2 linked regions of the Coturnix japonica genome follow. The protein of the gene in region 1 interacts with the protein of each later gene in a biochemical or structural test. Links are inferred from orthologs where the notes say so. Each region holds a gene or a part of one and is shown on either strand. Other genes may lie near its edges.

Evidence for each region. The genes of interacting proteins can lie anywhere in the genome.
Region 2: the proteins of SNW1 (region 1) and PPIL1 form a complex in vitro, tested with the Homo sapiens proteins (2 studies listed by IntAct, with this or other methods). The link is inferred for Coturnix japonica from reciprocal best matches to the Homo sapiens genes SNW1 and PPIL1.

The regions. Positions count from the first base shown.
Region 1 is NC_029520.1:35,703,027-35,707,158, reverse strand, and holds the start of SNW1 (SNW domain-containing protein 1), read left to right. Parts: upstream 1-1,325; 5' UTR 1,326-1,430; coding exon 1,431-1,444; intron 1,445-2,009; coding exon 2,010-2,163; intron 2,164-4,132. UniProt on the Homo sapiens protein: Involved in pre-mRNA splicing as component of the spliceosome. As a component of the minor spliceosome, involved in the splicing of U12-type introns in pre-mRNAs.
Region 2 is NC_029541.1:1,560,111-1,563,753, forward strand, and holds PPIL1 (peptidyl-prolyl cis-trans isomerase-like 1), read left to right. Parts: upstream 1-1,461; coding exon 1,462-1,517; exon of another isoform or gene 1,518-1,535; intron 1,536-2,044; coding exon 2,045-2,199; intron 2,200-2,722; coding exon 2,723-2,791; intron 2,792-2,877; coding exon 2,878-3,101; 3' UTR 3,102-3,129; downstream 3,130-3,643. Other genes in the region: PSRC1 (proline/serine-rich coiled-coil protein 1), read right to left, coding at 1-83, 357-412, 1,251-1,508. UniProt on the Homo sapiens protein: Involved in pre-mRNA splicing as component of the spliceosome. PPIases accelerate the folding of proteins. Catalyzes the cis-trans isomerization of proline imidic peptide bonds in oligopeptides. Catalyzes prolyl peptide bond isomerization in CDC40/PRP17.

The DNA.
Region 1 (4,132 bases):
ACTGACAGCAAAGCCAAGGATGAAGTGCCTCAACACTTTACTCACCATCCAGATTATTTTGGTCAACTTGTAGAAATTGATGCACGTGGAGATCTGATAGCATTCCTGCCCAGGAATGCTAAGCAAAAAAAGATAATGGTAAAAGAAAAATGAATGAATCTTTCTTTCCTAAGGATACATATCGGGATACATATCCTTGGGAAAAAAAATGGGTTTAAGGATCTCAGATCCATCCCTTGCTTATTGTTTCTTCTTATCAAAGAAGAATTCACCAGAGCTGGTATATCTGAATTATTACTAAGTCTGGTGCACACAAAGCCCAGAACAAACTAGGGGATACATGAAGATACATGGAAATGATCAGCTCACAGAGCTGGGAGTTTTCCAGGACAACACATTCTGTACTTAACCTCCGCTCCCACTTCACAGAATCACAGCATCACAGAATCGTAGGGGCTGGAAGAAACCTCCAGAGATCATCAAGTCCAACCCCCCTGCCAAAGCAGGTTCCCTACACCACGTCACACAAGTAGGTATTCAGGCGGGTCTTGAATATCTCCAGAGAAGGAGACTCCACCACCTCCCTGGGCAGCCTGTTCCAGTGCTCCGTCACCTGCACTATAAAGTTCTTGTGCCCATCCATGTGTAACTTCCTATGCTCCAGTTTCTGGCCGTTTCTCCTTGTCCTGTTTCCACACACTGCTGAAAAGAGTCTGGCCTCGCCGCTTTGCCTCCCACACCTCAGGTATTTATAGACCTGGATCAAGTCCCCTCTCAGTCTTCTTTTCTCAAGGCTAAACAGTTTGCTTAGTCTCTCCTCATAGGGGAGATGCTCCAGGCCCTTCACCATCTTTGTGGCCCTCCGCTGGACTCTTTCCGAGAGATCCCTGTCTTTTTTGTACTGGGGAGCCCAGAACTGGACACAGTCTTCCAGATCATGGTCTGTTTGAGTTTGTGTTTGCCTTACAGGTTGTGTTGCAAAACAGACCCCAAAGCTGTGTGTTTCCCACACAGCAGTAGATGATACATCACAGCACAGGAAGAAGTAGGAACTGCAGGAGGGAGAACAAGTCATTCCTCAGCTCCAGATAGGAACAGGGCTCCTGACCGGGAGCAGCGCTGTCACACAACACCAAGTCTGCTGAGAAATGACTGACAGGAAACGGTAGGAGAGATGGCAGATGAGCTCTGCTCGTGACAATTATTGATAAGCGATACATGTCAAAGTCTCGTATCCTCGGCTTTGTCTGCAGAGCTCCCAGTTGCCCTGGACACAAGGTGACATCTCAGTCACCAAGGCCATCGCCCATCGCTGTGACGCTGTGCCTACAACTCCCAGCTGCCCGCTGCGGCGCACGCGCATCGAGGCGCTCGTCCTTCCCTGTGCCCCCCCCCATCCCGCGGCCTAACTCCGAGTCGGCAGCGGCAAGATGGCGCTCACCAGGTGCGTCCCTCTGTCCCCCCGCTCCGTCCTCGTCGCTGTTGGTGTCTGGGGAAGCGCTGGGTGCTCGGCCCGGCGAGCGGCCCCTCCTGGGTGCGGGCCCACGGTCGCTGAGCAGCCCGGGGTGCGGTGTGCTGAGGGCCGGGCCTGCGGGAGCTGCCTGCGCTGCTCGCTTTGTGCGGCCTAGAGCGCGATGGGGCCTCCGCACCGCTGCGTGCTGCGGGGAGCTAACGCGGGTTTTGTGAGGGGAAGGATTGGTGCTGGTGGGATACCTGGTCGCTTTCCGGCTTTTCCTTCCCGTGAGGGATGTCTTTGTTACGAGCTGCTGCTCCGAGAGCGCGGCTCCGCGGCCTGCCCGGCTGTACCGAGCGGGGACGTGAACGCCGCCCGGCAGCGCGGGGGTGGCGGTGTGCAGTGCGCCGGGTCCGGACGGGGGAGTTGGAGTGTGTGGCTTTAGACCGGGGGTGTCCGGCTGGGGAGAACCACTCACGGGTTCGTCTGTGGGAATTCGCCTTTTTCAGAGCTGTTTTTTTATGTGTCTTTTTGGTGCCTGTCTGGGGACGTGCAGTTTTTTGCCAGCTCCAACCCAGTTGTCCCAAGACCAGCTCGAGCTAGAAGAAAGAGCGAGGGCGCAGAGATCCAGGCAGACTGCTCTGGTCTCATCACGAAGGGAGCCTCCCCCATACGGCTACCGGAAAGGATGGATACCGCGGACGTTAGAGGTAGGTGTTTAAACTCACCATATTATATTAGTACATCTGTGTTAGTGGGTAAAGTGTGTCTTTCCAGAGTAGAGTCAAACTATGAAGTTTCTTGAGATAATCACAGAGAATCGTGCAGGTTTACATGCAGAATTTCCAAGTTTCTTGTCATGGTAACGTGGGAATACGACTGTGGTCCTTTCTGTTTAAGGTCTGAATGTAGTGACCCTCTGAGAATGACACCCATACCAACCCTCTGTCATTATTTGTTAAATACATATCTGGATTAGAGGTGAAATAAGTAGATGGGTGTATAGCAGAGAAGAGAATACTTCTCATGTGTACTGTGTTCTTAAGGTAGCAAAAGGTAACTGCTCTTGGGGGGTGTTAAGTGATAGAAACTTGTTAGATGTGGGAGTGCTAGATAAGGTGACTTAAAGCAGTAGTTCCAGTGGTTCTCTAAAGTAAAATACTTTTATGGAATTTCAGCATTTAATAAAGGATGTGGTATTAAAATTTATAGTTCAGCTTTCTCCTTACAGTGCTCATTACTAAAGCTACTGTTCGAGTGCTTGTTCTAAATGCTGTGGGGGGGGGGGAACCTGACTTAACTTAGTTCTATTGGTTTCCAGTATCACTGGGCCAGAAAATGCAGCACATCTCAAAGACTTCTAGAAGATTCCCTTTTTGCCTCATAGACAAAACCAAAGAATAGTAATTGCTTGCAAGTATAGGCTTCATCTGCTTATCTACTCATAATTGAAAAACAGCATCTATTCTTAATAGATTTGGTCATGTAGAAAAACCTGAGAGATGGCTGAATTTAGTTCTGCATTATATTTCAGCACTGATTCTGTATCTAACTGTTGAACTGGATGCGGGGCATCCAATGGAAGACTTTAAACAACCGAAGTTGAATTTCAGTGTGCACTTGAGGCAAGCATGAATATGTGCTGCTCTGGAAAGAAGTGTTCTGCCCGATGATTCCAGTCTCAGCCCATGCTGTCTGTTGTAGTGGTGTTAACTGTTTGGTCTCATGGTGAATACGTGGGGATCAAGCTACCCAAGTCACCTGGTTTGCTGTTGGGCAAAATCAAAGCCATTGCAGCATGGTGAAAGGGCACAGTAGTGTTGATTAGAGAAAATGCTTCCCCTGGGGTTTTGAAACCATAGCCTGAAATTGGTTTAGCGATTGTGTGCCAGTTCTGTTTGCATCTTCAGTACTGAGTCACAATGGTCTGCTTAAAGAGGTCTTCCATTTATTCTGCTCCTTAAATAGTTTTAAAGCAAGAAATTGAACAAGAGGAAAAGTAAACTGTTAGGAACACGAAGCTATTGGTTGCTTGTCCTGTTTTCAAGTTGTGTCAAAATAAGGAAATCGATATCTTGGCATTTGTACCATTGTAAAGCTGTGAGCTGCAGGCTTGAGAGGGCTGGAAAGCTTTATAAATTTCTTCACCTAATTATGGTAGGATAACTAAAATTACAAGAATAGCAGTTTTGTGATGAAAATCTCTAGTGGTTAATTTTTGTGTATTTCAGCGGTTGCTTTATTGCTGCAGATAAATTCTAGAAGTTGTAATTAATAACCTGCATGTGAATTAAATACTTGATCATTTACCGCCTGTCATGCTGTAGTGCCTGCACATCCAGCCAGTGATAAAAGAAGTTTCTCTGTGAAAGGAATAATTGTAGAGAGTTTCCTGCAGGATGTCTTTGTATTTCCATTTCACAAGTGTAAGCTGTAGTCAGCTGTTCTCTTACAAGCCAGAACAGTAATGCTGCTAGAGCATTTCTAGCAGTGTTTCATGTTAAAATCAGTCCACTCTTTTGTTCCATTTCCACCCATGCAAATGTTATGACCTGGTCTAGTACCTGATCTGGAGGGTGGTGGGCCCTGCCTGTGGGTTGGAACTTGATGATCCGTAGGGTCCCTCCCAACCTAAGCCTTTATACAATTCTGTAGTTATACCATGTTTTTGTCTTTCAG
Region 2 (3,643 bases), on another chromosome or scaffold:
CCTCCAGCCCGGCCCCGCTCAGGGGGCTCCAACGTCCATTTGTGCCCCCTGGGGGGGGCTCGTCATCATCATCATCCTCACGGCTGGGGGTGAAGCTCAGCGTTAGCCCAGCCCAGGAGCCCCACGCTGGGCAGCAGGTGACACATCATGGGCCGACACCTGTCCATGTTATGTCACCCCGTGTCCCCATCTCACCTGTCAGAAGGGGACAGGATGCTAAAGTCCAGCTTCTCCTCGGTGATGAACTGGACATCTGGGGGCAATGAGGGGGGGACATGAGGGGGACACGTAGGGGGCCTCCAGACCTTATGTTAGAGGGCACAGAGGGGCTCCCCGTGTTGGGGACAGAGCCCTACCTCGCTCCTCCATCATCGCACCCGGTCAGCGAGCGGCACCAGAGCCCATGGGTGACCTGGGTGTAAGCAGGGTGACCCCATATCCCCCCACCCCCCTTAATGTCCCCATTACGGGCACAGCGCCCACTGGGGACTGTGCCAGCACCGGGTACAACGGGGCTTTGTGGCCATGGGGACAGCACGGGGCAGCACGCGGGGGGGGGGCAGAGACCCATAGCTGGGGGGCAGCTCTGCACCCCACAGCACCACAGCCTGTACCGACGGGCTCCAGCCTCACACCCTGACCCCTATGGACCCCAAACCACAGGGGTCCCAGCCCCACAACCTGGGGGTCCCAGCCCCACATCCTCCCCATGCTCTATCACAAAGGCAGCTCCCAGCCCACACCCCAATGGGCCCCCAGCCCCACACCGGGATGCTCCCATCCCCATAGTGTTATCCCAGCCCTTCTGCCCCATCCCATCCATCCCATCCCATCTTTCCCATCTCCCATCTCCATCCATCTCCATCCATATCACCATCCATCCACCCAATCCATCCAGTCCCATGCCCATCCATCCCATTCATCCATCCCTCCCATCCCATCCATTCCATCTGCCAACCATCCCATCCCATCCCCAAATCCCACCCATCGCCATCGCATCCTATCACCAGTCATCCATCCCATCCCATCCCATCCATCCCATCCCATCCCATCCCATACCCACACGTCAGGCCCCCAATGCCTACAAGGCCCCACAGCCCCCAACCTGGTGGTCCCAGCCCCACTCCCCCCCATCGGGATCCACCCCCATCCCGTTACATCCCATCCCATCCCGTTATGTCCCATCCCGTTATGTCCCATCCCATCCCGTTACATCCCACCCCCACACCCCGCCCATTCCCTCCCATTACCCGGTTCACTCCCTCCCGTGTTCGCGGCGCTTCGTCCGTTCGAATTCTCCCTCCGGTCCCACAATGGCGCCCGTCCCTCCCTCCCGCCGCGCTGATTGGCTCCGCCCACAAGCTTTGCGCGATGCTCATTGGTCGCTGGATGGGAGGGGGCGTGTCACCGGAAACACCGAGTCTCCGCTTCCGGCGCCGGTAGCGATAACGGCGGGGCAAGATGGCCGCCGTGCCGCCTGACTCATGGCAGCCACCCACCGTGTCCATGGAGACCACGTAAGGGCAGGCCTTCCGGTTTGGGGATACCCCGAGACCCCCCCCCGGTACCGGGACACCCCTCCGCTGTTGGGCCTACCGTGTTCCCCTTACACCGACATCCTTCCGGTACCGGGACCCCTTTGTGTCCCTCCTCCCTCCGGTACCAGCCCCCCGGGCTGTCCCGGTTCTTCCATCCGGGCCCCTTTTACCCCCCCTCCCCCCAGGACACCCCATTCCCCCCCACCCCAATACCGGCATCGCCCTCCGGTACCCGGAGCTCCCAACCCCGGCAGGTCCCAATACCGGGATCCCCTCACTCTGCTTCCCGGCCCCATTAACCCCCCACAACCCCTCCCGGTGCCCCTATCACCGACCCCATTACCCTCATAACCCCCCCAGCCCCTCCCGGTGCCCCTATCACCGACCCCATTACCCCCACGGTCCCCCCTGGCTCTCCCGGTGCCCCTATCACAGCCCCTCCCGGTACATCCCCCCATCTCACCCCGTTCCCGTTGTGTTCCCGTTATGTCCCCGTTGTGGTGCAGGATGGGCACCCTGGTGCTGGAGCTCTATTGGCGTCACGCCCCCCGGACCTGTAAGAACTTTGCCGAGCTGTGTCGCCGTGGGTATTATAACGGGACCCGCTTCCACCGCATCATCCGGGACTTCATGGTACAGGGAGGAGACCCCACCGGGACCGGTGAGTGCACGGACCCCACGGCCGCCCCATAGACCCAAATGGGACAGCGGGGGATCCACTGTCCTGGTATGGGGCCATTGTGACCCTCAGCTCCGTGATGGGATCGTCAGGACCTTCACAATGGGGACACTGAGACCCTAATGATGGGAGCACTGTGACCCTCAGTGCTGTGATGGGGACCCCTGCATTGTACGGGGGATGCTGGTACCCTCAGCCCTGTTGTGGGGTGGTCAGGACCCCCAGCTCAACCCTCAGCCCCCCCATAGTGATGCTGGACCCCCTAATAGTGATGCTGGACCCTCTGGTTTCACGATTGGGACCCTCAGCCCTATGATGGGGCCATGGACATCCCCAGTCCCACAGTGGCAGCACCACGACCCCCTAACAGGGACACTGAGACCCTTATCTCAGTGCTGGGGACACCCCCTGTATATAGGGACACCCCCTATTATATATGTAAGTCTTTACAGTGGGGACCCCATAGTGTGGAGCCACGATCCCCTATTGATCTCCATACCCACAGGCCGTGGCGGTGCCTCCATTTATGGCAAACACTTTGAGGACGAGCTGCACTCGGAGCTGAAATTCACCGGTGAGTCCCCAAACCCACTTTTATCCCTCCAAAAACCCTATAAACCCATCAAGCCCATTCTTATTCCTCCCTCCATCCATCCCCAGGCGCTGGCATTCTGGCCATGGCTAACGCAGGACCCGATACCAACGGCAGCCAGTTCTTCATCACGCTGGCACCGGCGCAATGGTTGGATGGCAAACACACCATCTTTGGGCGCGTGTGCCAAGGGATCGGGGTGCTGGGCAGGGTGGGCATGGTGGAAACCAACGCACAGGACCGGCCTTTGGATGATGTTAAAGTGCTTAAAGCTGTCCCTGCTGGGGGATAATGGGAATAAAATGGCTGTGGGGACGGTGTGTGGGGGTGTCTGTGGGGTGTTTGGGGGTGTGGGGTGTGGAGGAGTCGCTTCTGGGGGCACAGATGTCACCATTAAGGGCATGGAGGTGTCACATGTGGGGTGTGGGGGTGTCAGCCCTTTAGATGGCACCTATAGGGGCATGGAGGTGTCACCCTTAGGGACACAGATGTCACCCATAGGGGCATGGAGGTGTTGCCTTTGGGGACGTGGGGATGTCACCTATAGGGCATGGAGATGTCACCTATAGGGGCATGGAGGTGTCACCCATAGGGACACAGAGATGTCACCTATAGGGCATGGGGCTATCACCCATAGGGACACAGAGATGTCACTTGTAGGAGCATGGAGGTGTCACCCATAGGGACACAGATGTCACCCATAGGGGCATGGAGGTGTCACCTTTGGGGATGTGGGGATGTCACCTATAGGGCATGGAGGTGTCACACGTGGGGTGTGGGGGTGTCAGCCCTTTAGATGTGGAGATGGCACCTATAGGGGCATGGAGGTGTCAC